Linked DNA regions of Rattus norvegicus. The protein of the gene in region 7 purifies or fractionates together with the protein of the main gene of each other region. This does not show direct contact. Links are inferred from orthologs where the notes say so. Each region holds a gene or a part of one and is shown on either strand. Other genes may lie near its edges.

Evidence for each region.
Region 1: the proteins of Crk (region 7) and Nedd9 purify together in Homo sapiens (affinity purification with western blotting; 3 studies listed by BioGRID). This does not show direct contact. The link is inferred for Rattus norvegicus from reciprocal best matches to the Homo sapiens genes CRK and NEDD9.
Region 2: the proteins of Crk (region 7) and Map4k5 purify together in Homo sapiens (affinity purification with mass spectrometry; 4 studies listed by BioGRID and IntAct, with this or other methods). This does not show direct contact. The link is inferred for Rattus norvegicus from reciprocal best matches to the Homo sapiens genes CRK and MAP4K5.
Region 3: the proteins of Crk (region 7) and Peak1 purify together in Homo sapiens (affinity purification with mass spectrometry; 4 studies listed by BioGRID and IntAct, with this or other methods). This does not show direct contact. The link is inferred for Rattus norvegicus from reciprocal best matches to the Homo sapiens genes CRK and PEAK1.
Region 4: the proteins of Crk (region 7) and Shc1 purify together in Homo sapiens (affinity purification with western blotting; 3 studies listed by BioGRID and IntAct, with this or other methods). This does not show direct contact. The link is inferred for Rattus norvegicus from reciprocal best matches to the Homo sapiens genes CRK and SHC1.
Region 5: the proteins of Crk (region 7) and Dock5 purify together in Homo sapiens (affinity purification with mass spectrometry; 3 studies listed by BioGRID and IntAct, with this or other methods). This does not show direct contact. The link is inferred for Rattus norvegicus from reciprocal best matches to the Homo sapiens genes CRK and DOCK5.
Region 6: the proteins of Crk (region 7) and Sos1 purify together in Homo sapiens (affinity purification with mass spectrometry; 6 studies listed by BioGRID and IntAct, with this or other methods). This does not show direct contact. The link is inferred for Rattus norvegicus from reciprocal best matches to the Homo sapiens genes CRK and SOS1.

Annotation. Positions count from the first base shown.
Region 1 is NC_086035.1:23,670,822-23,674,644, reverse strand, and holds the end of Nedd9 (enhancer of filamentation 1), read right to left. Parts: intron 3,140-3,823; coding exon 2,630-3,139; 3' UTR 865-2,629; downstream 1-864. UniProt on the Homo sapiens protein: Scaffolding protein which plays a central coordinating role for tyrosine-kinase-based signaling related to cell adhesion. As a focal adhesion protein, plays a role in embryonic fibroblast migration.
Region 2 is NC_086024.1:94,064,056-94,068,718, reverse strand, and holds part of Map4k5 (mitogen-activated protein kinase kinase kinase kinase 5), read left to right. Parts: coding exon 1-8; intron 9-1,080; coding exon 1,081-1,153; intron 1,154-3,369; coding exon 3,370-3,501; intron 3,502-4,663. UniProt on the Homo sapiens protein: May play a role in the response to environmental stress. Appears to act upstream of the JUN N-terminal pathway.
Region 3 is NC_086026.1:65,503,980-65,507,427, forward strand, and holds the end of Peak1 (inactive tyrosine-protein kinase PEAK1), read right to left. Parts: coding exon 2,402-3,448; 3' UTR 1,064-2,401; downstream 1-1,063. UniProt on the Homo sapiens protein: Probable catalytically inactive kinase. Scaffolding protein that regulates the cytoskeleton to control cell spreading and migration by modulating focal adhesion dynamics. Acts as a scaffold for mediating EGFR signaling.
Region 4 is NC_086020.1:177,140,738-177,145,005, reverse strand, and holds part of Shc1 (SHC-transforming protein 1), read right to left. Parts: intron 3,953-4,268; coding exon 3,899-3,952; intron 3,614-3,898; coding exon 3,562-3,613; intron 3,399-3,561; coding exon 3,272-3,398; intron 1,497-3,271; coding exon 1,310-1,496; intron 1,222-1,309; coding exon 1,152-1,221; intron 1,072-1,151; coding exon 940-1,071; intron 801-939; coding exon 562-800; intron 1-561. UniProt on the Homo sapiens protein: Signaling adapter that couples activated growth factor receptors to signaling pathways. Participates in a signaling cascade initiated by activated KIT and KITLG/SCF.
Region 5 is NC_086033.1:46,221,930-46,226,592, reverse strand, and holds part of Dock5 (dedicator of cytokinesis protein 5), read left to right. Parts: intron 1-281; coding exon 282-407; intron 408-1,890; coding exon 1,891-2,015; intron 2,016-3,200; coding exon 3,201-3,299; intron 3,300-4,663. UniProt on the Homo sapiens protein: Guanine nucleotide exchange factor (GEF) for Rho and Rac. GEF proteins activate small GTPases by exchanging bound GDP for free GTP. Along with DOCK1, mediates CRK/CRKL regulation of epithelial and endothelial cell spreading and migration on type IV collagen.
Region 6 is NC_086024.1:20,358,280-20,361,809, reverse strand, and holds part of Sos1 (son of sevenless homolog 1), read right to left. Parts: intron 2,251-3,530; coding exon 2,132-2,250; intron 997-2,131; coding exon 505-996; 3' UTR 1-504.
Region 7 is NC_086028.1:61,027,095-61,032,321, reverse strand, and holds the start of Crk (adapter molecule crk), read right to left. Parts: upstream 3,406-5,227; 5' UTR 3,367-3,405; coding exon 3,126-3,366; intron 1-3,125. UniProt on the Homo sapiens protein: Involved in cell branching and adhesion mediated by BCAR1-CRK-RAPGEF1 signaling and activation of RAP1.

The DNA.
Region 1 (3,823 bases), on a different chromosome or scaffold from region 7:
CACAAGCCATGTTGCAAGTTCCCACTGCCAGGAACAAAGCCAATATCCAGACCTTCCAGGATAGACAGACTGTCCCCTCTAAAGTGCAACTCAAAAGAAATCTCCCCTCCCTTGCTTCTGTAAGACATATGGTGGCAATCACAAGAAGAGTAATTAATGTCCGGATGTATTTAAGTGCTTTCTACATCTCAGAGGGTTATCTGAGTAAAAGGGAGGGACGCTAAAAGTAGTAATTCTCGTGGTTAGGGAATCTTTCTTCTACTATAACTTGCTTTGAATCATTTCTTTATGCCTATTCCAGAATGAGTGAAGAAAGTCTACTCTACTTGAGTAGTCATATCCACAGAGTAGAAACAGAAATTATCATGCCCACATTAAATGTGAGGGTGCTGTAGCCAGACGTAGTGGGTCACACCTTTAGTACAACCCCCTAGAGGCAGATACAGGCCGATCTCTGTGACCTCAAAGGCAGCCTGGTTTACATAGAGTTCCAGGCCAGCTATGACTAGGCAGTTAACTCCTGTCTGTGGGCATTTGATACTGAAAAAAAAAGTTTCGGATATATTTTTTTTTTTCCCGGAGCTGGGGACCGAACCCAGGGCCTTGCACTTGCTAGGCAAACGCTCTACCACTGAGCTAAATCCCCAATCCCTCGGATATATTTAATTTGATGCTATCCTTATGCTCTAGAATTTTCTTTAATACAAAGGTACTGGGGTAACATACACACACTTTTCCTTAAAACAGTCAGATCTATAGCATATGTTAAAAAAATCATAATTTGACTTTCTATACTCAGATGGGGCAATATTTAATTCTTCCGTAAGACAGATACAAGGAAAAGAAACCCAGTAGCTACAAAGAGAAAGATTTAAACATTTAATGACTTGAATATACAAAATGTCAATCATCATTACGAATTGAATAGTTTGTTTTTTTACAATGTGGAATGTCATTACTCAGGTTAGGACAAGGTAGCCATCACTCAACAGACACACGTTGTGTAGTAAGATCTACAAGGATACCTTGACTTTTTGCAATGGCACTAATGCTGCAGGACCCTCTTCCTCCACATGCCAGACACAGTGAATTGCTGTCCAATAGTCCAGCTGTTTATCTTCTGGCAGTGCAGAACTTTGAGAATTACAGCTATAGTTTGTTTTGAAAAGCACCCTTCCTTTGCTATCTTCCACTTACTTAAAAAAAAACAAAACAAAACAAAACAAAAAAAAAACAACTGAGATCACATGTTCTTCTTAAGTCCCTCCTTGTTTTTGTCATTTGGTTGCTTAAAACAAATAACATTAACTCAGTCAAGACATATCCATAACAAATAAAAACACGTTTCTGAATAGGCTGGAATGAAATAGAACAGAGGCTACAAGAAACATATTTCTTGAGTTGGTCATAATGGAAGAGGGAAGTGCTTTATCTGCCGATGATGAATCTGTTCTGAGCTGTATCTACACAGCAGGTGTGAAGGGAAAGACCACAGGATCAATGCTGTGAGTAGCTTACAGGTAATGTGACTTATCCACAAGGTCCATGGCCACAATGGGTTGTGAAGGTCAGATCTCTGCAGCTTTTTTGAGTGTTGGTCTGCTTATGTAAGGTTTTAGAATGGTGTAGAACATTGCTCCATCAAGCAATGAGAGAGGACAGCGCCTGGTGGCTCCATAGTTCAGTGACTAAGAAACTGGCCATTTTCATTAGATAATGAGGGTAGAGAGGTCTTTATTTAACTACTGGCTGTTGGAAACATCCCTTCTTTTTGCCCACAATCACAGTTCTGATGTATCTTCATGAATTCTTGTTGCAATTTTTTTTTTTTAAATTCAACTCTAAAAACATCCATTAGAAAACCTCATGACTGAATCACTCACAAATGTAGCCCCAGGGAAACAAATGTTCTCTCTTTATTATAGTTTCTCTCAGAACTGAAATAACTCAATAACCACTGTAGACATGGCCTCTTAGTACAGCACACATGTCTTGCCTTTCTCTAGCACCTGAAACACTGGATCTTAGGTTAATGTTTTTTTTTTTAATCTCTCTCTCTCTCTCTCTCTCTCTCTCTCTCTCTCTCTCTCTCTCTCTCTCTCTCCTCACCCCCTTTCAACTAGAAGTTGGTCAGATTTACCACTGTGTTAAAGACAAGTCAAGTTTAAAAGAGATTTCAGACAAGAAAGTTGGGTGTGCTGGGCTCAGACTACTACTACTACACGTAGAGTAATATTACAACTAAGTAGTATAATTTTTCTACAAAACCCAAACAATGCAGCATTAGGTGCTTACTAAGGTGCTTCTCAATTCATGGTTTTAATGGACTGTATCAGACACACATCTATAAACAAATACGGATACGTAGGCATACACAAATGTGGACACATTTCTGTACAACTTATGTCTTAGATACTTATATGTTTATATAAGAACCACACAGGGGAAACAAAATGAATTCCCACTTCAGCTCCCTGAATTGATGAAAATCGACTAACTCACAAAACATTAAAACATTTCAATTTCATATAAAATATCTACAAAAATAGATAACATTTACAAAAACTAGATAGTATTTCCAGTTTTCCTTAGTAATTATTCAACCAGTCCTTTCTACTTCCGTGTCTTCTCAGAAGGTGGCCATCTCCAGCAAGGAACGCTTGAACAGTTGAGCATTTCTGGACAGGTCTGTTACTTGGTGCACCATTTCCTGTAAAGCCGTAGTGCTCGGGTAGTGGAGGGCGGCCATCTTGGTCGCCATCACAATCGTCTTGAGCTGTTCGCAGAGCTGGTTGCTGGAGTTCCTGACTTTGTTGCGAATGTCCTGGGCGGCCACCTGCCTTGTCAGAGTGTCTCCAATGAACACCAGTTTGTGTGCACTGAGAATGACAAACTTGCTGTGCGCCACAAAGATCCGCGGGGGCTGGGCTGAGCTGACGCAGCTGAAGAGGGCGTCAATGGCATTGAGGAGGGAGATGAAATGGGTCTCGCATTGGTCATAGTAGAAGCAAAGCAATTGCCTATCCTGAGCACCCACACTGTTGTTTGTGGTTGGGAGGCTCTGAGAGGGTTTCCATTTGGAAATGTCATTCTCCACGGGCTTGGTGATTTCTTGTTCTAACAGCTGGAACTGACTCAGCTAGAAGGAAGAGAACAGATCTCATTAAGGGCAAGGCATACATTGTAAAGGGAAAGAAATGTGGGTGTGAGATCACAAGAAACCAGCTTCATCTTTAGTAGGTGCTAGGTACTTAGTAGCTGTGAGACCTTGCCCAGATTGCCTTGCTTCCTAAATTGTACAATGTAGACTCTGAGAAGAGGATCTCTAGAGGATCGTCCAACATAGATCTTTTGTTATAACACCATTTGTCTTTTTTTTGCATTCCAACTGGAAGGCATTGGCTTCTATACCATTATGACAAATACTATTATTCACAAAGCGAATATTACTATTAGTCACACAGTGTTTGAAACAGTGTTTGGTGAATTATAGGCTATGTAAATGTTTTTTAAATGTTGAGAGGCGTCAAGGGAAAACCAGACACAGTGACCTTTCTGTCAAATCAACAATTTGCTACTTCCTGGGCAAGGCCCTTCCTCTCTTCAAGATGGAAAGGTCATGAAGACACTCCTATTTGTCAAGGATTTGTCTCCTATATTGTCAAGATGTATGATAACATTATGGTCCATTACTACTGAGAAGTCTTAGAAATGCACACTTACTTAGGGAAAATGACACAAAAAAGACCTCTCGACATTTATTCTTTGCCATTTTGTATAGCATGCATGTGTAGGTCAGAGGACTCTTCATGGGTGCTGGTTC
Region 2 (4,663 bases), on a different chromosome or scaffold from region 7:
AAAGTTAGGTATGTTATTTTGAGTTCTTAATTTTTTATCAAGAAAATTAAATGATATTTAAGTTTGAATAGGTTTATATATATATAATGTATATATATATATAATCATAATGATGATTACCTGTGATACCTATTTTATTCCTAAAGGAGAAAACTCTCCTGAACTTCAGAAAATCTCTTAGGTGAAGAAAGTCCTATTCATAAAGCTATCAGTCTTGTTACTTATGGTAGAAAAATACAAACCCATGGAATACTTTCCAGCAAATCATAAATATTTATGAAAATATGTGAGTAATCTGGTATATTAAATAGCAACAATGAACTAAATAGTATATTTAATTTTTATGACTATCTTAGATAGGGTTTCATTGCTATTAACAGACACCATGACCAAGGCAACTCTTATAAAGGAAAACATTTAACCTGCAACCTAGCTTTCAGGTTCAGAGGTTCTGTTCATTATTGTCAAGGCAGGAACATGGCAGCATCCAGGCAAACGAGGACCTGGAGGAGCCAAAAGTTGTACATCTTGATCCAAAGACAGACAGGAGAAGACTGGCTCCCCTGAGGCTAAGAGGAGGGTCTCAAGGTCCGCCCGCACAGTGACACACTTCCTCCAACAAGGCCACACCTACTAATAGTGCTACTTACTGGGCCAAGCATATTCAAACTTCCACAATTACCGTGTTTAATAACAAATATAAAATTTTATGTACATAAGAAAATATTCTAAAAAGTAGCAACAAAGTAATAACCTTGTACTGTTTTAGAATTCAGGTGTATGTTTTCTGCATGTTTTTAGTTTTGTCATTTTCCCCCCAATTAACTTCTTTGTGCTTGTAATTAAAATAATTTAATTAGCCTAATACAATACATTTTTCATTCTAATAAAATTTTAGGAAATTGTCTTTTAATGAATATGTCACAAACCAAGTAAGGGCAGATCTTAGTACTAAATTTATGCACAGTTCTTGACATTAATACCTAAAATATTAATGATGCTGTGCCAAAGGTGAAACTTAAAAATGCTAGTTGTGTCAAAAAGAACTCAACCGATTTTCTGCTCTTTTTCCCTTGCCAGCTGATTTTGGTGTGGCTGCAAAGATCACAGCTACCATTGCAAAGAGGAAGTCCTTCATCGGCACCCCTTACTGGTGAGGCCATATTGCCATAGTCCTTTGTCATTTCTTCATGCTTTGCACTGAACCCTAATTCTTGCTTTTTAACTGTTTATTGCTTCTCTGTGAGTTTCACATCATGCACCTCAGTATCACTCATGTCCCCGTCCCCTCATACCTGCCCTTAACCCATGCAACCTCCCTCCCTAAAACAAAAAAATCCACAAACAGGCACAGAAGACAACTCATTGTGGAAGCTATAGTGTGTCACAGTGTGTCCCACAGTACATTCCTCCATCCACACATCTTCACTTGCAGATCTGAACCTTAATTCTTGATAATACAAATGACCACCAATGGCCAAGAGACCTGAGTGCTACTGGATACTTTCCTGGGCTTGATTGTGCTATGGGACTTTGATTCTTCATAGCATCCAGCACGATGAAGGTCTATGTAGAAAAATGGAGTTCTCAAAAGAAAGACTTCTTGTATCTCTTCCAATCTTCGGTTTTAATCAAGGACTATACTTCCCGTTGTTAAAACCTACACATCTGATGCTGGTGTCCCGCAGCCCCACATGTGTGGTGTGGCCTGGTGACTACCACAGTAATTTCTCTAAAACACTGCCAATCTTCTGTTGAGGTATAATAGAAGACCTCACATTAAACATTGAGTGTGAGCCTAACATGTGCCTGTAATCTCAGAATTCGGGAGGCTGACACAAGAGGACTGCTGTGAATTTGAGGGTAACCTGGGCTGTGAGACCCTGACTCAAAAGAAAAAAAAAGGCAACAGAATCGCTTAATATTTAAAATAGTGCAGTGAACACCATAGCAGACAACATTCAAAGTTTGCGTTAAATGTTGGGTTTGTTTGTATATGGTGTTTGGCTAATTTATTATTTTGAAAGTAATTTAAAGTAATTCTATACCTTATAAATAATGCCAAAATAAATTGTGTAAGGGGATTGGAGAGGTGGTTCAGTGATTAGTAGCACTGGATGCTCTTCCAGAGGATAGAGTTAAATATGAAAGTAAAATAGAGCTGGGCATGGTGCCGCACAGTCTGTGAGTGTTAGGCCAGCCTGGACACAGCCAGTCAGCATTACATAGTCTCAATGTGCCCATATGTCCCCTGGGTAGTGTCACCTACACCTCATGTGATCACCGTGTGTTTTGAGGTTTTTGGATTTTGTTTTGTGCGGGGAGGGGGGTATGGGTGGTGATTATTGAGACATGATATTCTTTGTAGCTCTGGTTGCCCTGGAACTCGAGATAACTCCTGCTTCAGCCTCCCAAGGGCTATAGTTACAGGGGATTGCTACCACACCTCTGCCTGCCTGGTTTCACTCCTCTCACTGTGTTTCACGGTGCCGTGAGTTTTTGATTAAGCTGCCTCCATAATTATGTCTTTCAGTGGGTCCACCCCATTTTCACAAGGAATTCTGAATTCACTTGTATAAAAGTTAGGTGGTTCTTATCTGGACCCTACCTTGGCAGTTTGTTTTCAATGTAGTTTCCAGACTCCCTGAGCCCTGAGTTGTGAAGATGTTTTTTTAATTTCAGACCAGATTTACACTTTTGTAAAATGAATTACTAAAATTTAGTAATGTGTTTACACAAGAGAGGGCTCCTCTGTTTCTGTACTCGTCCCAAACAGTAACAGGCTGTGTGTGGCTCTTCCCAGGTCTGCGTCACAGGTGAGTCCCACTGTGCCCTCCACTCTCCACAGCCCCCTGCATTTGCTGGGGTTTCCTCTGATGTGTGCAGGCACACCTTACCCTCAGCTTCCTGCTGGCTTTTTCTCGAGGTTTCCCCTCCTCTGGGATCATTGGCCTGCAGGTGTTAGCATTCCTTAACACAGACTGGAGTAGAGCAACAGTGTTCTTGGAGCGCAGGATTCAGAAGAGGAAGGGAGGATTTTTAAATAGGGAATTTTCCTTAATTTTTAATTTTTTATGGTTTTTGGTGTGTGCGTGTGTGTATTTTGCCTGCATGTACATGAGTATACCACATGTGTGCCCATGGAGGTCAGAAGAAAGCCTCAGATCCCCTGGAGCTGGGGTGCTGGCGAATCCCTATGCAACCAGTGCACCTAGCCACTGAGCCATCTCTAGCCACCAGAAATGAAATAGGGGAATGGGGCAGGGTGGTAAGGCTTCGTTCCTTCTTCCATCTATGAACATAACAAAGAGTATCGTGTTTTACATCATTTAAGAAAATAACAAGTGCTGTGCTCACTGATCCGTCTAGGATGGCTCCAGAGGTGGCAGCGGTGGAAAAGAATGGCGGCTACAACCAGCTCTGTGATATCTGGGCAGTCGGGATAACAGCCATCGAGCTTGGAGAACTTCAGCCGCCTATGTTTGACCTTCATCCAATGAGGTGTTCTCATTATTTACAGCACGTTGGGGATGAACTGCTGATTCCTCGGGGTTCCGAGCTCGTTTTCACGTGTATCGCACTAGTAAAGTACTGTAAGGGCTCAGAACTAATGTCGTGTAACCTGCTCGGGTCTGGGGAGCTGCCTCACTGTGGAGGCTGCTTTCTACACAACTATAGACCTATGCTCGGAACCCTAGCACCCTTATAAAAGCTGGGGTGTCGGGGACAGGCAGATCCCCAGAGTTTTACTGGGCAGCCTTTCTAGACAAAACAAAGCTCCGGGGTTCTGTGAGAGACCCTGTCTCCCAAAATAAGATGAAGAAGAGTAAAGGAAGACAGCCCTCTGCACACATGGGCAGGGCGAGCACGCTCTCATTCATTGCACACAGGTGAAAGGTAAACACTGCACACATGGGCAGGGGCGAACACTCACACATATACACTGCACATACATTCATGGGCAAGTTCTCCTTCCTCTCTCAAAGGTGAATTCATAGAGCACTCTTGTAGGTTAGCTTGTAAACAGTAAGATAGTATAAGAATTTATTGTCCAAATAATATCAGGAAATGGATATAATTTGCCAGAGTAATTATAAATGCTAGGCTTTGCTTAAACCTAAAACTTAATTTTAAAGTAATGTGTCAGTGCTGTGTAATAAGCAAATACACAATTACATAAATATGCCTGCACTGTACTATGAGCTGTACAGGTAACTGTGGTAAGGAAGTGTACATTTTACGGCCTTATTTTGTGAATAAGGCCCTGTTTGACATTAAAGATCTTTTTTAAAGCTAGCAGAAGTATTCTAGAACCTTCCCAAAACATGAAAAAAGCCAAGGACTGCAGCAGAAGTGCTTGTCTGGCTTGTGCAAAGTCCAGGGTTTGACCGGCGGGGTCGTCAAAAAACAAAACATAAATATCAAAAAATTCCATGTCCGGGCTGGAGAGATGGGTCAGCAGTTAAGAGCACTGACTACTGTTTCAGAGGTCCTGAGTTCAATTCCCAGCAACTACATGGGATCCTGTGCCCTCTTCTGGTGTGTCTGAAGACAGCTACAGAGTACTCATACAAATAAAAATGAATAAATCTTTTAAAAAAAAATTCTATGTCCAAAGCAATGTCTTCAGTGCCTTTCCATGAGGAAGTCTTACACAAATTTA
Region 3 (3,448 bases), on a different chromosome or scaffold from region 7:
ATCTTTGTCCCTCACTAGTGTGGCCGTAATTCTTAGTGGGAGTCACGTGGAAGGAAGAGTGCTCAGTTTACCAGTGCAGGGAGACAGTGGTAGCAGACGTGTGCACGCTTTTTCTACTATAGTGTGAAAGAAGGCTGCATCTAAGATAACAAACAGAAAAAGAGAGATTTCTACAGACAACAAACAGAGGGGACCAGGGAACATTCTGCATTAAATATGTAACCTCATTAAATAATCAACATTCAGATTTACATGGGCAAGGCACCATGAGAGCAATGTGGAGAAGGTATGTCTCAATCTGCAAGCACTGTGGGAAGTGAAGGGCTGGGCCAGCTGACGTGGTCAGTGGTCTTTTTGCCACCAGTTCAGTGCATAATTAGGCGGGAAGTTATGTGTACATGGGCTATATGACTCAAACCCTAGCCTGCTGGGCATGGTGTAGCCATGACTCATGGCTGCCCACTCCACGGTCATTCTGTCTAGGAGAGACAGACTCTGTGGGCAAACTAGGCCTCTTTCCTGGGAGTACGGAGCACTAGCCAGGATCGCAAAGCCATCCTGCATATGCAGCCTCATACATATCGTTCTCCTTAAAAATGCATAATAAAATACATTCTCCTTTTTTGATCCTCTTTGATAAAGGTGAATCACATGAAAGGCTGTTAAAAATGTTAAAAGTCTAGAAGTTTCCAAGGCCACTAAGGTGCCACCCAAATAATACTGCACAGTCAGTCTTGGCTTTAAGCCAATTCTGAGCTGGTGGGCGAGGGCTTCCTGGGTTTCCTCACTGTCAAGGTGTACAGAACTGATCTGTCCACCCCACTACAGGTTGCTTCCCAGAGGCCTATCTCCAGCATGTGCATGCACATAGTAACACATGCTTACACACTTACCATTCAAGTGACTCTTGGGATTTCAAGGTTGAAGTAAACAGAGACTCACAGTTTTGAATAAAACAAGTGTATGAGCGTTCATACACGCACACAGGTGGAAAGGATACTTGACTCTCAGCGCAAGTATGTGCCAAGGGAAGACAAGAATGTTTCTGCAGTTCTCACTCAGGTAAAGTTGCAACATAAACACTGTAATATACAGCTTAAAAATACATACAAAAATTGCACATAATTCACGGGAGAGCACAGGCTTCATGGGGAACAACTCTCAGTCATCCACTGCAGCCATCAGCCTTCCTGTGAGCTGAGCTCCAGGCCCACTGCAGTCTTAGGAGCGACATGCCACTCACTCTGGGAGGCAGTCTTTCTGGAAGAGGCTGGCACTCCAAGGATCAGGTCAGCCATTTTTGTGGCCTTTCCCGTTCCCCTTGCCTTCCAATAGCCGGCTACCAGTTGCTTTCTAAGGTGACGGTAATGCTAAATTGACAACCATTTCATTCAGGGCTGTTGCTAACAGCATTTGGCAGACTAGTTAGTACCAGCTACTGATGGAAGGAAGCTGGCCAATGACTGCTTTCGGGGGAAGAAACTCTGACTCAGGCACCACCAGCCCTGGCTACCATGCTGATAGGTCTGACAGTAATCAAAGAACAGTACTTGAAAGTCTGTTCCCTGAGGGCCCCTGGAGAATTGCACATAAGGACATTATTTCTTCATATCCTGCCCACTATTCATAATCTGTGGACTGTACTCCATCCTGCTGAGGCATTGGTGATACCACCTCTGGTCAGCTTTGTACTGGACCACAAGAAGTGGATAATAAACTCCAACTTTAGCAGGTGGGACAGGGTGAAGGTGAAGGACAGCCAAGCAGTGGCAGTGGGGTTGTCTATGCAGTGTCCAACCTTTGCTAAGAACAAAAATGGAAACAGACCCATGATCTAACGGCTGGGAATCTCTCTCCTCCTTTCATGGTATGGCGGAACAGACGCTAGTCCCCAGTGACTGAAACTCAGCCGAGAAGGATAATGGCATGTCCTCCCAGGAAAGAGGCAGTCACTGAGGAAGAGGAATCTGCTGCAAGAGCATTACTGGGTGACAGCTGAGCTTGGTGACATGTGTACTGCTAGCTAGTTAGTACAGGTGAGCTTCAGAGTTCTGGAAGAGGCGGATGCAGCTTGCTGAGATCATTCCACAGGAGCTGGTCCTTCATGGACGTGCATTTTCATTTTTTTACCCCACATTTGTGAGCCAATTGGGATGACAAATGTTCCAAGGGAAGGCAACGCATGTTTGCACAGTTGAATTCCTGTACAGTAGAGACACTCAGCCGCTCACTCTGTGGAAAGCCATTGGTGACCTTGCTGAAAGAAGCCCTATGTTCCTGGACAAGGGTGGCAGTTGGCTTCTTTTCTTTCCTTGAATTCTGAGTGAGTACCAGGACAGGGAATGAGGACAACATGAAAAAGGTGGCGATATTTAACAATAAAAGCAACGCCCAGGCCACATTAACGGTACTGCAGGATTTTTACAATGTAGCTCAGGGAGTCTGTGGTGGCAAAGGCCAGATACTGAGCACAAAGCCAATCTTCAAGGCTGATGCCCCCCTCTCTGTCCAGGGACTTCTCGGCAAACTTGATCATCAGCAGTGTTCGCTTGATGTCCAGCCAGTTTTGGAGGAGAGCGTTCTTCTGTACTAGGGTTGCCGAGGTGGTGAAGATTTGGAAGAGATCTTCTCGGGGGCCCCAGAGCAGACACTGGAGGATGCCTTTGGCGTCAGAAATGAGGATGCGCTCAGAAGGGTTGGGGTTCAGGAGACAGCTGGCAAGTTGCTGCAGGCCCCAAGAGTACGGGGAGCGGAGAGGGATCCGAGGCAGGTCTGTGCGCGTGTACTCCTTCTCCTTCAGCTCTGGGTTCTCATCAAAAGGGTTGGGCAGGTGCAGCATCTCATAGATGAGGATGCCTGTCTGGAATTCATCACACTTTTTATACTGGGTGGCCGTGATGATCTCTGGGGCAAGGCGGGACTGGTCTCGGAGGATCTGAGGGTCCATCAGATGGCTCTTCTGTTTGGCCTGAGAAAAGTTACTCACAATGAGTCTTGTGGGACAAGCTGAGGTGGGGCAGGGGTCTGCAGGTGAAGGGCACTGGGTGGCTCCCCCAGGTTGGTGCTGGACAAGCAGCAAGTTCTCCAGGCGAAGATCGCAGTGAGTGACGTGGTAGGGCTTGAGGTGCTCAAGACCAGAGCACAGCTGTAAGAGCAGCAGACACACTTGCCTCTCATACAAGTCGGGGCTTTTCCCATGATGTGCCAAAGAGTCTCGCACGAAGTCGGCCACAGTGAGATGGGGAACCTCCCTGGTGATGACCACGACATGGCTTCTTTGCTTCCTGTTTGTGACTTGTTGGTTCTCTTTCTGGGATGACTCTGATTCAGAGCAGGGCTCAGGATTTCCCCCTGAAGTTTCTGCCTTCACCTCTTCCTCACTGTCTTCATTGCCATCCTCTGCCTTTTCAGGAGCATTGGGATCCTCCCAGGGAAGCAGACGATTAGG
Region 4 (4,268 bases), on a different chromosome or scaffold from region 7:
AGAAGAAGAAGAAGAAGAAGAAACCAAGGTTGTATGAAGTAGTACAACAGGTTAGATTTGTTAAAAAGAACACTGAGTGTGAGGCTAAGGGGCTCCATCCAGAGATTCCGGACTCCTCTTACGAGAGGAAATTTGGAGTCTCTACCCCCTAACCATCTGACACGGGGCATCACTACCTTTCCAGTGTCATTTCCTCACTTAGTAAAGAGGGTTCAGATCAAGTAAACACTCTGTAGGTCAGGTAGGTTTCACTGGGATTTTTTTTTTTTCCCGGAGCTGAGGACCGAACCCAGGGCCTTGAGCTTGCTAGGCAAGCGCTCTACCACTGAGCTAAATCCCCAACCCCTTCACTGGGATTTGAGGTCTGGTCAGAACTGAAAAAAATACAGCTCAGACTCAAGGACAGCAGGGAAGGAACTTTGAGCCACTGCAGGCTGATGCAAGTAGCTAGCAGAGCAAAGGAGGCCCCCAGAAAGTCTCTATTGAAGAAAGCCTAGAAAGCAATAAGGAGAGGGCAAGGTACCTTTCCTTACCACCCCCTCCCATACCTGTCACACTTACCACACCTTCAGGGTCCACCAGAAGCAAGTGCTTGGGCTGCCCACTCTGCAGACCAGTGAGCACGTACTGGCCAGGTGTGGTTGTACTCTCTCGCACCAAGAAGTCACCGTTGAGCTGCAGCAGCGCCTCAGCCTCCCGCCGGCTGAGTTTCCCATGAAACCAGGACTCCCCTTGGAGCTGCTCAGCCATGGACATGGACTGGGGAGCTGGCGGCACCCGGAGTGCATCTTCGAAGGGCTCTAGGGGTGTAGAGATGGCTAGGAGAGCGAGCTTGCCCAGTATACACCCAAGACCCAGGCTCAGTGGGGAAGCCAGACAGGAGACAACAGGCAGAAAAGAAGAAACAACAGAAGGTGGGGCTACAAGAGACTCACTCACTCATGTCAAAGAGGTCTCGGGGTGCACTGCCATTAACAGAAGGATTTGGGGGTCCAGCCCCACCACCAGCTTGCCGGGCCTTGTCTAGATTCTGGATGTTGACATAGGAAGGATCATCGAAGAGTTCTCTGCCTGTTAAGGATAAAAAAAGACAGCATCAATCCCAGCCCTGCCTTCTGTACTCCTCTCTGTTCTATCAGCAGTGTTCACACCTGGGCACGGTGGTGGAGGCAGCATCTGTTTACGGACTTCATGGTCTCCTGTAACATGCTGCCCTATTGGCTGTAAAAAAAAAGAAAACTGGGTGAGAGCAAGGCCCTAGCCAGCCATTCCCACCCTGGCCTTAAGTATCTCCACCCTGGCCCCTTACCAGTGTAGCTCCCAAGTGGCTGGGCATCTGGGTACTGGGCAGAGTGGGTCGAGCAGCCCCTTCCCGAAGCCTCATATCTACCACTCCACCAAGAGGGGGTTCCTTCCCTGGGAAGTCATTGTAGTACTGATGGTCAGGGGGCTCTTCTTCCTCCTCATCCCAAGCTGAGCCATCAAAGCCAGCCATCCTGAAAAAAGAAGGAGCGAGAGAAGAGGTAGGTGTAAATACGGAGCTAGGAGACCCAGGGAGGGAGGAAACCAGTGACCACATACCAGCATATACTGTGGTCAGCTCTAAGGCTTGGTGCTGTAAGACTGGTATTCCTTCCACAATTTAAGAAATTGCAATAAAGATTGGGGTTGGAGAGATACATACAAGGTCTCTCAACTGAAAGGAGATAGATTTGAGATTTAATTTGGTTTTGAATTGAAAACTCTCACTTTTGACAGCTATGCTACCTCCAAAGAGGGATGGGAGCTCCATCAAACAGAGAGGGATGGGAGCTCCATCAAACAGAGAGGGATGGGAGCTCCATCAAACAGAGAGGGATGGGAGCATTATCAAACAAAGGGAACATCCAGAATGATTTCACATACAAAGCCCCTGGTGGCCACATTGTTTATCTCTTGTGACTTTAAGAAAGCAGCCTGGGGATCTCAGGTCAGAGGTGCTGGGGCTGGGGCATAGCTCAGTTGATAAAGTCTGAGGGTCAGAATTCAGATCCCCAGGTTCCATGTGCAAGCCAGACCACTTTTCCAATGGTGGCCACCTATAACCCCAACACTCTTGAGGCAGACAGGATCCAGACCAATCTGGTTGCTGCTAGCTAGATCTAGCGAGCTCCAGATCAGAAAGAGATCCTGCCTCAATAAAGTGTGAAACACCAGAGGAAGACACCTGACATCAACTTCAGACCTCTACACATACACATACAACATATGCCCCACACAGACATGCACACTCGCACACACGCACACACACACACGTACATACAAAAAAAAGAAAAAGATAGTCTCTTAAACCAGATTCTTTTTTCTTCCTTTCTCTTTCATTCTTTCTTCCTCCCTACTCCCTTTCTTTTTTCCTTACCTTCTTTTTAGTTTTTTTTTTCTTTTTTTTTTTTGTTTTTGTTTGTTTTTTGAGACAGTGTTTCTCTGTGTAGCTCTGGCTGTCCTGAAACTCCCTGTGTAGACCAGGCTGGCTTCAAACTCAGAGATCCACTGTCTCTGCTTCCTGAGTGCTAGGATTAAAGGCCTGATTACGATCCAGACTCATTTGAGTGTCAGAGGCAGGAAAACACAGAACAATGAACGGGGGAGTACGGTGCTCTGGGGTTAAGAAAACTGCTGACGTTGCAGAGGACCCAGGTTTGGCTCCCAGCACTCACATGGCAGCTCACAAACACCTGTAATTCCACTTCTAAGGGATCCAATGCCCTTTTTTGGCTTCCATAGGCAATGCATACACTTGTATATGCAATAAATTACACATATGCATAAAATAAAAATAAATCTTTAAGAAAAGTGAAAGTGTACAAGAACACAGGGCTAGGCCAAAAATGAGGAACTTAAAAATTAAATGTTGGGGGGCTGGGGATTTAGCTCAGTGGTAGAGCGCTTGCCTAGGAAGCACAAGGCCCTGGGTTCAGTCCCCAGCTCCGAAAAAAAAGAACCAAAAAAATAAATAAATAAATAAAAATTAAATGTTTATCCAGTAAAAAAAAGCAGTCTGCTGAGAGGTGCTGGACTAGAACTCCACCTCAGGCAAACAAAAGATAGAAAGTGTCCCTGCAGCAGGCCTTCAAGTCTTTCCCGATGAGCCAATGGAGAGCTAACACAGCAGGAACAGGGTCATATAGGTCACATCTTTTCTGAACCCCTTGTAGCTCAAGCAGGAGAAGAAATCCACTTCTCAACCCCAGTCTGAGGCTCAAGAGCTGCCTCATCCTCTTCCACAGCTCACCTGTCATGGGGGGTGACCAGCTTGGGTGGATTCCTGAGATACTGTTTGAAGCGCAACTCAAAGGCCTGCCCGATGGTGCTGATGACGTCCTGAGCAAGTCCTTCAGGACACTCCAGGATATGGCAGGCTGGGCACAGTGGAGACGCCAGTGAACTGAGGCAGGGTGCTAGCAGAACATGAGGGCAGGAGCCCCACCCCAGCCCTTCCCAGCAGGATAGCCCTATCGAGTATAACTGATCACTTGCTTCTCAGAGAATTGGTCCCACCCAGTGCTGTCCCCCACGCCTCACCTCTCTGATTCACAGGGTCTTTGGCAACATAGGCAACGTACTCAGCTGTGTCCTGGGGAGGGCAGATCCAGGAGGCCAGTTAGCTAGAGTTTACCTCCTGACCCACTAACTCTGTCCTTTTTACATATTTCACAATCCTTGTGCACCACTTCTTTAGCCAGTATTTTCTCCCTCCCTCTTTTGGTTTTTCAAGAAGGATTACTCTGCATGGCCCTGGCTATCCTGCCTCTTGAGTGCTGGGATTCTTGTGTGGCCACCACTCCCAGCCTCTAGCCAGCATCATTTCAGCCCCTAGTTTCTTCTTCCCCACCCGTCTTTTCTCTGTTCCCCAACTCACCGGATCCCCACCAGACGCGAATGAGATAGATTGCATGTGATGGTTGGCAATGATCTGATGAGGGCAGGGTGGAGAAGGAAGGAATGGTAAAGGTCAGGCAGCCTCAGGGCTCCACGTGAACCCACCCCAGCATAGAACCTTGGAGCCCCGGGATCATTCTCTTGGCCTTTTACCCTGCATTCTCCTAATTTCTTTCTTCTTTTGGTGGGGTGAGGCACAAGGTCTCACTATGTAGCCCTGACTAGAACTCAGATTCCTCTGCCTTGGCCTCCTGGGTGCTAGGATAAAAGGTATCACTATACTCAACCTTCCTAACTTCTTCCTCTTCTACTCTCCAGTTCTTCCTGAAGACTGCAAGTTTTTGGCCTCC
Region 5 (4,663 bases), on a different chromosome or scaffold from region 7:
GCACCACCACATACTCTTAGACTTAGAACAAGCCACTTTGGTATCAGTTGGCATAATCTTTACCAATTTTGTTCTCTACTGAAGTCAATTATATCTGTTGACTACCCAAGTAAGGCCTCTTACAAGTTTGAAGGAAGCATCATAGAAATGATTCTACCCGGGGAGGATTATATGTTGGTCATGAGGTGTCTGGTTGGTCTCATACAAGCTTCTATTCTATGAGCCTGTTGCAAAGATTATATGGTGAACTGGAAGGTTGTCCCTCTTTTTCCCCCTTACAGGTCTTTGGGTGTCCTTAAAGTTATTGCCAGGTGACCTCACACAGGTTCAGAAGAACTTTTCACACCTGGTGGACAGATCAACAGCGATTGCTCGGAAGATGGGCTTTCCAGAAATAATCCTGCCAGGTATGCACTTTGCCCAAGTCTCATTTTGTGCTTCTTTTCCATGGCGGAAGAAAGGATTACCTCAACTCGGACAGTTGAGGCAGTATGGGTCCTTAAGAGGAGGTCTTTCAGGGTTAATGGCATCAAGAAACTGGTGACAGAGTCACAGCACCATCAAGGACTGTTCAGGATGCAGGACCCAAAAAACGCCACTCAGCACCTCAGCATTCTCAGCTCACCCTTTCCCATCCTGCTCTGCAGATGTTTTCCCCAACTTGACTTCCTTCTCGGGGAACAACCCGGTGGCCCAGTTCATAGGAACTAATCCATGACAAAGAGACTTGTGGACAGCTGGTACCACATCACATTTGGAAAGCTCTGGAAAACCAATTTGCCATGTAGCACATTAGAACAGATTTTTCTGAGAGTCAATGGGATCTTTTCTTTCCTTCAGGAAGTCAAGGGGCAGTAGTAGTTTTCCACACGCCCATTACCTGAGAATGAGGGTGTTTTAATGAATACTCAGAATGGATGAATAAACGTTGCTGTAAAGGGGGGCTGCTGTGTCTTCTCAGAAGAGCAGGTTCATCCATCACAAAGCTCTTTTCACTAACTTCAGACACACCAAATTTTGGGGGAAATTATCTTTGGTCCCCATCTGTAGCACAAGACTCCTATAGACTTTAAGCCATCTAGACATCCACTTCATCCATCAAGACTCCTGCCTTCTCTTACACCCCCAATAGATCACCCTCTTCTTTCCTTTTAACCAATTATCTCTTTCTCGGTGTTCAACTGCCTATGAATACACTGCTGGCATTCCTGGGTTGTGTCTCCTCAGGAACCGTGCCCATATCCAGCTAGCTGCATGAACAAGAAACCTGAAAGACACTATTAAAAACCTGCTGGATATCCTAGCAATATCTAATGTATGCTTATTATTAGACATGTATCCTAAATGGGACAAAGAATTGGATCTCTGAGGTGGCTAAGTAGGTTAAAAACTCTTACCATACAACCTGAATGATCTGTAGAACCCACATTAAAAAAAAAAGCCAGGTGTGGTGGCTCATAGCTGCAATCCCAGCAGTCCTACAGCAAGATGAGAGGCAGAGGCAGAAACAGGAGAATCTCTTCAAAGCCTGTGAATGCCGGACAGCAGTAGAAATAGCAAGGGAGACACTGCCTCAATAATAGGTGGAAGGGGAAGACTGACTCCAGAGAAATTATCCTCTGGCCCACAAACTCATGCTGTGGCATATACATGTATGTGTGTGCACACTTATAAAAAAAGGTATTTTTTACAAAAGCATGCACATCAGAGACACCTTGATGTGTAGTGAGAGGTGGACTGAGAGAGCAGTCAAGACTTACGTGGAATCAGCAGGCCATTACCAGCAGACCGTTGTATATTTACATTAGTCCTTGTGTGTTAAATCATGGAACTTTAACTTTGAAGTGAGTTTCTCTCAGCAGCACTCACAGTAGGCTTGTCGTGTTTTAGGGGATGTTCGAAATGATATTTATGTCACCCTGATCCATGGGGAGTTTGATAAGGGGAAGAAGAAGACACCCAAGAATGTGGAGGTGACCATGTCTGTGTTTGATGAGGAAGGCAACCTTTTAGAGGTATGTAGCACTCCCCACAAATCTCATCGCGTCGCACCTGCTCTGTGGTAGCAGCCAAACGCTGGTCCAACTTATTGTCAATTCTCCCCATATGGGGAGGGTCCTTCTTTATCTGGGTTTTTGTTCTTACTTTTATTAGTTTCTGTTTTGTAAGAAAGGGTGTCATTAGGTAGCTGAGGCTGCCTCAAACCTGTGATCCCTCTGCCTCCGGGTGTTGGGATGACAGGCGTGTACCAACATGTTCAATACTTTCTCTTAAGGAAAAAATATATAAAAACTAATAAACCCGTGATTCTCAGTGGCTATTTTTACTCCGGGAGCTACTTAGATATATTTTGATATTTTTCTCTGTGCAGAGAGATATCATGGGCCACTTAAACTTTAGGACCTTTGACATTTTCAAGTGGTATGGCTAATCTCAGCTTGAGCACCATGCAGAGGTGTCCCAAAGGCCTTGACAGGCACACTGCCATCACCTGGGCCAGTGGAGCCCATGGACACCGACTTATCTGAAGGAATACTGTGACACTAAAGGCACCCTTGGTGTAGGATGGCAATGCTGATTTCCAGTGTTAGTCATTGGGAACTTGTACCCAGAGTAGAGTTCTTTCCTCTGGAATTGCAGATGTCAGAGACAGAGTCGAAGAGTTTCTCTGCCTCTGGCAGCTTTCTGGACATCTTGGTTTTGACTTGAGAGAGTTGGGAGGCACCGGGTGGCCACCAGAAGCCTCTGTCACCTCCATCTAATTGCTCTAGATGTACAAGTGAAAGTCTTGGCTCCTGAAGCTCTCTAGATGTCCTGAAGTAATGCTCTCCAAATGTTCGGTCCTTGTTGTCCATAATTCAACCATTATGTTTCTTTAAAAGCAGAAAACTGTACACATTCAGTAAAAACCCTGAAATTCATGGTATGCAGGACTTGGGGCTGAAGGGACCCATGTGGCATTTGTTAACATTAAGTGGCATGACTGCTGGCTAGGAACAGCATACACCTGCTGCCACAGTGTCATCTCGCAGTATAGTGTGGATGGCTGCTGGTAGACTTCTCAAACTCATCATCATCAAAGCCCCTGACTTTGGGTTAATTTTTGGATGATATACATTCAGAGACCTTGTTCTGTTGCCATGTTTTTCATATACTAGATGACCTAGTATCATCTCCTAATTGTGTCTTTCCAATCAAAGAAAGCCATTCATCCTGGAGCTGGGTACGAAGGCGTCTCAGAGTACAAGTCCGTGGTGTATTATCAAGTCAAGCAACCTTGTTGGTACGAGACAGTCAAGGTGAGAATTCTAACTCCTTCAGCTATTGACCCTTGTTTAGATTCCTGTCCGCTTTTTAAACCCCAAGTCAGTCTTCAGATATCTGAAAGTTTCAGATTGTCTGCAGAAAGAAATAAACCGGGGATGGACTGGAATGGGGAATATAATCAAAATGCATCGTGTGAGATTCTCAAAGAACTAATTTTTTTCAAAAGCTGAATCAGCAGTTAGGAGGTCGTTAGAGCATCCATTTTATGAAGCCCAAGATTCTGACAGAGTATTCTTATTCACAAACGTATAGCGACTGGACAAGAAAAACTTGTGGCTATAATAAGGCAGGGGCTGCCAAGATGCTGCAGACAAGCTAAGATGTGCGCACTCCATCATCGGCTTCCCAACATGTTGTTCTTGTTGGCCCCTGTCCAAGTGTTCTGGGCCTCTTCGCTGTAAGGAAGGGTTTCATGAATTGCAGAATGCTTTCAGATCCTGAATCCCCTGTGGGCTCACAGTGGCCTTGAAACTGGACAGTCGGGTATTACTCTGACCTCTTTTTGAAGAGGCAGCAGACCCTAGGAAGAGAAGTGACACCTCAAATCTTGGAGCACCTTGGGGTCAACCTAAAACAGGTCACATCTGAAGTCTGGGCTGCTGTAGCGCCTACTGTCAGCATTGGCAGGGTCCTATGAGTTGTAAGCAGAAAATTCCAGAAACTGAACATTGTCCAAATATCTGTTAGGTAGCGGTTATTTTTCACATCCCTCTGTAGTCTGTGTTTTTTATTGTGCTATTCGTGTGAATTCATATTGTGCTGTTTTTGAAAAACAATTTCTCAATCTGTAAACTCTGGCTGTCCTAGAACTTGCCATAAAGTTCAGCCTTCCTTTGAACTGGCAGAGACTCACCTGCCTCTGCCTCCCAAGCACTGAGACTGAAGGCACAGACCACCGCTCCTGGCTGTGTTGTGGTTTTTAAAGCTACTTGTCTTGGGCATTGTGAGCTCCTCAGAAATACGTTTTCAGTGACTCTAGAGATAACCCTGACTAATAGAGAGACTGGTGCTATTGCCCTGTCTTCCTGTAACTTACTGCACTACCGTCAGAGAATGTCCCCACCCAGGTATCTTCTCTCCTCACACAGATACTAGTAACCACTGTATCTGCAGGTGACTTCCCCTTGGAAGGGTCCGAGGTAGACCTCAAAAATCAGGTCTTATCACTCTGGATGCCAGGCGCATAATGTGTCTTAACTCTGAAACTGTGATAAACAGCAGAGCCATCTCCCTCTGAGACACTTTCAGCTTGGGAGTGGTTATGAGAAGGAAGCCTGCTAGCACAAGGAACTTGTGCTAGGATAAAATATAAAGGCCAAGTCTAAAGTCTCTTTTT
Region 6 (3,530 bases), on a different chromosome or scaffold from region 7:
AGTGCTGGGCCTTGGTTCCCACAAGGCCAGGCACCACAGCCTTTCTCACAGTCCTCTGAATGACTTGTATGAAAACATTCTAAAGCAGAAGAGTAAAGCAAAGGAAAACAAAGGAGGAGGAGATCCCTGTTTAAGAGTTTTTAAAAGTGCATAATATTTTGAATTACAAAGACTGTCAACATATGGGCCTGTTGGACACGAGACCGTTTTCCATCCCTTCACAATGAGGAGGGCTCCTGCCTATTGGCCAGGAAAGTCCCCCCCTCCCCGTGGTGTCCAGGTGCAGTCAGACGTCCAGCTCCTCTAGATCAGTCTCACCCTCTAAGCTGGAATACCATCTCACCTCATAGTTACGTGTAGGTTAAAATCATTGTCTTACTACATGTTGAAGTAGAGTCGTTAGTGTTTGGAGTTCTCCTTGTAACTCCTCAGTGCTGGCATGTTCAGTGCATCCATTGCCAGCAATGGATTTGGGTTGGGAACTGGGTCCCAGTTTAGAGGAACTCAGGAAGAATGGGCATTCTCCAGCAGTGGCGGTCCATCTCTGTGCATGGATGGGTGTGTGTGCTCCCTTTTGTAAGTTTTTGGAGGGAGTTTGGGGATAAGTTGAGAAGTGCTTTGCCGTGGAGGAACGGGAGGCCCAGCAATGGAATGGAGGTCCACTTCCTGTGTCAGTGGTGGTGATGGCAGATGCCTTCTCGTGCCGTGAGGAGACGGGGTTTGAGGAGGTGGCGGTGTAAAGGGGGATGGGCTGTTTGGGAAGAAGGCATTGCCATGGTCACTCTTTTTGCCCAACGGGGGAGGTTGGAGATGTAATGGCGAGCTTGAGAAAACATCGGGTGTCCTCACAGGTTCTCGTGGTGGTAACAAGGGAGGGCTCTCGGGAGGATCTGATATAGAGGTCCGATCTGATATTGAGTATCGTGGTGAATAGGCTTTCGATGTGGGCTGCCTAGGAGGAATCGCTGGGGGGCTATCCAAGTGCTTAGACATAATCTAACAAACGAAAAAGAACAGAACATGTTAATTTCTTTTGAAGAGCACCATAAATATAGTAAGTTAATTTGGAGTTTGTTAATTTGGAGTTTTCAGACATGCTACTGGCAGAATGTACGGTACAGAATGTGGACTTTTACCAAATATGTTAATCAAGATGGTCTGTCCACACGCAGGGGAAAAAAGAAACTAATTTTGTCAAGATTAGCCAAAAGTTTGTTGGTTACTACTGACTGCCTATCACACAATGCACTAAATTCTAGTTTAGCACAAACTATCCATTTCTTTTTTGCAGTGCTAAAGATTGAAGGCAGTGTCCATATTAGGCAAACAAACTACTATAGCCCTGTTAAGTTTTAAATGTATTAATTAATTAAATGTTTTAAAAGTATTAATGTTTCATGAAATCTACAGGCCTTGACTTATCCTGCTGCTTCTGTTCTCTAGGTTGCTTAAGACCAAATAGAATTATTGAATAACTTGCAAAATAAACAATAAAAGGGGGAAATTTAAACAGGCAGGAAGTCTCATTACTATATGTCTTTAGGATCTAAATTAAAATCTAACCTAAAATTGAAATCTCTCCCTATCTGGCTCAGATCAGAGAGTAACTTTCAGCAGATACTCAGTACAGATGCATTTATCATATTCCTTCACACACGCGCACATACACCCCCACACCTTCCCCCCAAGTGCACACACACCCCCACCTCCCCCACACGCGCACACACACCCCTACAACTCCCCCACACCTCCCCCACACGCGCACACACATTCGGGTCATTTTAAAAGAACTGCACGAAGGCTGAAGAGATGGCTCAGCTGTTGAAGACGAGGTTCACAAGCAAAATATAAAGAACCACACTAAGCCAAGTTACTGTTCACCACCTGATAGATAAGACTTGGTTTTTTTTCTCTTGGTAATGCTCATAGCTTTAAAAACTTATAGGGGTTTGCATGCATGCCCAAACTGCCTTTATAAGAAAAGACATAAACATCTTGCATGATAAATTTATACTTAATATTTGAACTGTTAAACCTAAGTGCTCTGAGACACTAGCCTATTCCAGCAAGAGGGAGAACTGACAGTAACAGCTGACACAGCCACATCTACATAACCGGTGCTTGGCTTTACCTTGGATGGGGAGGATTCCGCTGGGGCAGACTCTGGTCGTCTTCGAGGGGGGACAGGAGGAGGGACAGGCACTTCCTCGGTGCCCTTGGATAAACTTATAGATGAGACTGAAGCAGATCCTGTAAGGGTTAATTTAAAAGAGAAAAAAATTATGGAACTTCCATTTATTACTCTTGAAAGGACTTAGATGGAAATGGTACTGACTAAAGAAACGTGCTGAACTATCAAAAGCAGTTTAATAAACCAATACCCAATACTATTCCATTCATTAAAATAAACTGCTATAAAACCATGCAGAAATTTCTTAACAATCTTTTTTTAAAAGAAAAAGCTGCCTAAAATAATGGTTTTTTGGAGGGGATTTTTGTTTCTTTTTGCACTTTTTGAACAAAATAGTACTACCATTGTTAATCTATAGTTGGAATTTTTAATTGGGTTAATGTTCAGATTTCTGTTGGAAAGGTAATTTGAAAAAAATCTTTGAAATGGTCTTTTTTTTTTTTCCTTTAGTTTTATATTGTTCCCAGGGTACCGTGCCCAGACTAGATAGTTTCTAGGGATAGTCTCTGATCTTGGCAGGGCTATCTCTCTTATATAACACAAAGGAGAGAATCTGCTGCTTCCTGAAGCCTATTCACAGTTTGCTTGGGTCCAGACGCCCTTAGCATGTAAACAAGATCAGAATCATCACATCTAATCCAAAGCTGTTTAGAATGTCTACATAGAAAACCATTTAGAATGTCACAGGGCAGGGGTGCTCTGACAGTGAGAACAGGAACTTTCTAAAATCTAGTGATCCTGTGTAAGACCAAGGTGATGGGATGCAGAGAGGAGTCATTCAGTGGTGAAGGCACAAGAATGAAAGCACAACGCAGGCCCGAATACTTACGCTCTGAGAGACAACTTTGCTACCATTAGTTTATAAACTATAAGACATTAAAAATGTACTTGGCAGGCTTTCTTAATTCCTTTAAGCATTCTAATCCCACTATTAATATAACAGTAGGGAGCGTGAGGAGTGTTCTGTGCACTTATATCCAAATGGCCAACGTGGTTGTGTGTGTGTGTGTGTGTGTGTGTGTGTGTGTGTGTGTGTGTGTAGGCCAGAGGTCAATGTTGAGTGTCTTCCTCTTACTGTCCACTTTATTTTTTGGGATGGGTTTTCTCACTGAATCTGTAACCCACATTTTTGGCTCAGCTGCCTGGCAAGTGAGGCCCTGAGACTGGTCTGCCACATCATGGCTCTCACAGCCTTGCAGTGCTGTGTTCACAGGCATGTGACATCATGCCAGGTTTTCTGTGGATCTGGGAGATCCACAGTCAGATCCTCAGGCTCTCAGAGCAAACACTGCCCACTCCTCAGACCAACATTTTGGTCACCTATTTTTTAGGAAAATAT
Region 7 (5,227 bases):
AATTCTCCCAAGTCTTCTCTTTGAAGCCCACCTTGCAGAACATGACCAGTAAACTCCAACAGACTTCCCCCTATAGCTCTGGGGCACAGTAAAGACGTTCCTAGGCCATCATCATAGCTTAGATCATCTGTGGGAGCTAAACATCTATGCTAGGTTCAAATAGGGTCATTGAGCTGGGCCGATGGCTCATCCTAACAGGGAGACAAAGGCAGGAGAAATTAGCCTGGTTTGGGGGCTGGAGAGATGGCTCAGAGGTTGAACACACTGACTATGCTTCCAAAGGTCCTGAGTTCAATTCCCAGCAACCACATGGTGCCTCACTACCATCTATAATGTGATCTAGGCACACTCTTCTGTCATGTAGGCAAAACACTGTACATAATAAATAAATCTTTAAAAAGAAAGAAATTAGCCTGGTCTACACAGAGAGTCCCATGTCAGGACTACAAAAAGATTCTATCTCAAAAAATAAGTGGGATAATGCAACAATCCCTGGCCTGTCTTACCCACATGCCTCTACAGTGTGTGCACACAAGTGTAATCAGTTCTAGGCCAGCCAGAACTACAGTATGTGCATGACTGATGTGAGTCTGTGGAAGTCAGGACAACTCTGAGGTGTTCCTTCTCTTATCCAACCCCGGGATTGAGGATCAAACAAGACCCTCAAGCTGGCAAAGCTGTGCTTTTGCCTACTGAGCCACTCTGCGGGATCTCAGAGCACTCAGATGGCAGAAGCAAGAATTCTCCTGAGTTCAAAGCCAGCCTAGTTTATATGGTTGCAGACCAGCTAGGGCTGCAGAGTGAAACCCTGTTTCAAAACAAAAGAATGGAGTTCCCTATGTGCACCCCAGGGATTCCAAAGCAAATAAACAAAGAATACCAAAATTATACAATAGTCAGTTCTCAGGTCACACTGTCTAGTTCAAATTCTGGTTTATATGCTAAATGTTACAGGTTACTGGATTTCTAGTTCTTCTCCCCACCTCCAAATGAAAATGTTTTAATAAATGGAGATTGCAGAATTTCACTCATTGGATTGTTTTACTGATGGTGAATTATATAAGGCACATTTAGCAAAGCATGTAGCATACAATAGTCAGTCAATAAGTGTAAACTATTAAAATTATATATGTCTCTCTAAAACTCAAGTAATTCCTGTGTGGCTTCAAAAGAAAAACAGTTTAATGGATGGCAGAACAGCGATTAAGTGACCATCATAAAGACAGCAAGTGAATTGAGTGTCCTACAGAGAAAATGGGGAACACGACAGAACAAATTGCCACAAAGCCAATGAACTTTCCACACCTAACCCACAAACTGGCAATCTTCTCCTCTCCTAGGCCAAACACCTATTTTGAAAAGGTGGAGCTACCGAGATATAAAACCACAAGCCTGCCTGATGCTAGTCCCACATTTTCAAACAAGGAGAAAACTGAGGACCGAGTCCCTCACCCCCAGCTATTGGGAATAAAACCTAGCCTCCCCAAATGTCAGGCAAATAAACTACCACTCAACTATATCCCTAGTCACACCCCCTAACATAACTTTTTATTTTGAGGCAGAATCTTGCTAAGTTTCCCAGATGACCTGGAACTTGTAAAATCTTGCCTCAGCCTCCTAGGTGCTGGGATTAAAAGCATGAATTATGAAACTTGGCTGAGAATTGAATTTCAACAATAACATTTCATCTTACTACTGCCCTTAACACAAAACAACAGATTATTTTACAGATAGCACAAAAATAGAATTTACTATGTTTAGGGCAATTGTGTTGTATCTGATTTTATATTATTAAACCAACAGACACAAAAAGACTAAGAAGACTTCAGTACTCAAATTTTCCCCTTACTTGTGTGCCAACACCAAGAACTGTTTATCCCACCTCTACCTCCTCATTTGTGGCCAAAGGGAGTAAGTCTAAATTAGGATGATCCTAAAAGGAGGTCTACTAAACGGCTAACCAGGGAGTCTCCATTCATGAGATTAGCTCAGCTCTAGGAGGAACAAGCTTGCACTTCAAACATCCAGAAAGCAAGAAGCTTGGTGCCAACACACAGAGACAACAGTAATCTCAGAATCACTGTGCATCTCACAAACTTCAAGGACGAAGTGCATGAATTTCCTTAACATTGCCAAGACAACTGCAATAATACAGCTGAGACAATTACAACTCAATGGTCCTCGATGAGGAAAACACAGCGGGATAATTATTCTTGGTGTATCTGCCAGCTAGGTCTGCTCTCATATCCTGGAAGATTTTGACCACAGCACCAACTTAGCAAGAAAAGACCCAGAAGTACGTTGACTGACACTGTTTAAGCCCAGGAAGAATGAAATTCCATTCACTTCCAAGGTTGTTCTCCCTGGCCTATGCTTGGTTTATTTCCTAAAGGAAAAAAAAAACCTTCCTCCACTAATCACTTTGAAACTAGAAACTCTACGTGCAGCGGGCAGTCTTTTGGACACTTAAAACCTCTTGGACACAATTTGCCAGCTAGGCTTCAATTACGCTGGGCTGGTCACAGAAAGCTTTTTTTCTATTACCAAGTCACTTAGTTCACCACCTTCCACAAGGGAAGAGCACGGTAAAAAGATTTTGGAAAAATGCCCAAGAAAGGAAAAAGCTGACCGGCTTCCTGAGGGTGTCTCCATCCCTCCCAGCCAGCCAAGTACGTGGTGACTTCCTACCGAAGGCCACCAGGGGAGTATGGCCAAACCCAGCTCTAACACTGCAGGAAACGTTTCAAGCCTAAAAGCCACTTGTAGGATTAGCAGATCCATTCTGGGCATCTCTGCCAAATGATGTCCCCGCAACATCCCCATTAACTCTTTGTCCCCAAGTTGCCTGGCCCTGCCCTGCCCTGCCCTTGGGCCTGACCCTGGCGCCCAGCCCCACCCCGGGGCCGCAGCAGTTCCCCTTCCCCGGCTCCCAAGGCACACCCAGAGGCCTCGGTGAGCAGCTCCTCCTCCCCCACAATCCCGCTCATCGGTGGGAACCAGCTTGGTCAGAAGGCAGCTCCCCCGCCAGGTTCACTCCAGCCCTCTCTGCCCACGTCCCTCCTGCAGCCGACCAGGGTTCTAGGGCCTTCACCCCCGCCCGGGCCTCCCGCCCGTCTGTCCCTCACCCGGCGGAGGCTGAGCGGGCGACGGAGGCACTGGAGGGCGCGGGCCGCTGCTGTTGATGATGTAGTGGGAGACGCGCGAGTTTTCGGAGACGCTGAGCACATAGTCCCCGGGGCTGGTGCTCGAGTCCCGCACCAGGAAAACCCCGTGCCGCTGGCCCTGCAATAGCGCCACCGCCTCCTGCCGGCTCAAGCGGCCCCAGTACCAGCTACTCCGCTCCTCCGAGTCGAAGTTGCCTGCCATGGCCGCCTCCGCGCCTTCACGCTGGGCCGCCGCCGGCACGCGCGCCCCTCCAGCCCTGGCGCCCGCCGCCCAGCGGACCGGCTCCGGTGTAAGCCTCCCAGCAGCGCCCGAAATGGCGGCGGCAGCCGCGGGCCTTCCCCACCGGAAATGACGCGCTCTCTACCCGAGGGAGGCTGCCGGGAAGGGGACCGCCGCCCGCCATTGGGAGAAGGGAAACGGAGTCCTTGGGGCCCGCAGTGCGCATGCGTCCTCATGGGCGTCGCCGCCCGGTCCAGAACCCCAACGGCGGAGGATGGGGAGGCGGAGTCTAGGTTTAAGGGGCGGAGCCTCAATCTTCAGACTGACTGGTGTTTGACTAACTGGTGTTTGACAGATTGGTAGAGGCGGTCTTTCTCCCAGGACCTACAGGTAGCAGCTCCAGTAAAAGGACTGGAGTAAAAAAGATGATGTGGTCCCAGGATGCCCTCAAAGCTCCCTAACAAGCTGGTCTTTCCCGGTGTTTCCTTCGGTTTCCCCGGAGGTCAGTCGAAGTTCTTGCTATCTAGGAGTAGCCATAGATAACACATTTGCCTTGCAGGTGCAGTACTGACCTAGACTGAGCCTTAAGTCACCGAATTCACAGACCAGTGGGAGGGATCAGGAAACCATTAATGTCTGCTGTGATGGGAAACAGAGACACAAGGAAATCAACTAAGTAATCCTAGAGGAATCCAAGGGCCGGGTAAAGTGACTATGACAGTAATCCCAACCCTTAGGAAACTGAGACAGGAGGATCACTGTGTTTCAGGCCCTATATTATAAAACGAAAGCAAATAAGAACAAGGAGTCCACAGATGAGATGGTGTAGGTTGAATGGTTCGGTGTTGAATGGCAAGTGGGGAAGGGTACTTAAGGCAAAGAAAACAAAATGTCCAGCCAGGCAAAGCAATGGAGTTCTCTCTATGGGAGCTCCCATGTCAACCAGCCAGATCCTTTTAAACTCTCATTTGTAGCCAGAGGAATCTCCTAGTTTCACTTCCTTCATGATCATCATCTATCTCAAAAAAAATTTTTAATGAAAAAATACTGGGGAGTGGGGTGTTCAGGATAGGGTTTCTCTGATAGCTCTTGCTCTCCTGGAACTCACTTTATAGAGCAGGCTGACCTTGAACTCAAAGATCCACCTGCCTCTGCCTCCCCAGTGCTGGGATCAAAGGTATGCACCACCTCTGCCTAGCCACTACTACTGCGTTTTGTATATAGTGAGACCCTGTCTCAAAACAAAACTAAAGTTATCCTTGTCCTAGTCAATAGCTCAGGCCTTCTAGAACTTCCACCCATAGCCTGAGCCAGCCCTGGGAGAGACAGCAGGGGAAAGGGCACCTTCCCTGTTATCAGTGACTCATCTTGGTCTAGCTTAGTCACCGGAACCAGCAGCAGAGGCCATTCAGTGTAAATTCTGGCCCTTTGGGAAAAAGGGCTACCCTTTCTCCCTTTTCAGGACAGCTGAGCTTCAAGGCAAGACCTTAACCAGAGACTCTGGGAAAGTCCAAACCCAGCTCTTAGGATAAGTGAAAAGGAAAGAGAGATTTGTTTTGCTTGCTTGTTTGTTTAAACAAGGTACCACTATGCAGTTCTGGACGGCACATCAGCTTGGCCTCAAACTGGCAGAGACCTGCCTGGCTTTGCCTCCCCAAGAAGAAATATGTATTCATTTACCATTGCATAGTCTTATGTATCTCAGGCTGGCCTCCTTCATGACAGAGCTGTGGATGGCCTTGAACTTCTGATCCTCCTACTGGGATTACTGGTGTGCACCACTATGGCAAAATCTTCTTTGTTTCCCACATTCTTTTATAATTTTTACATTTACTTACTTATG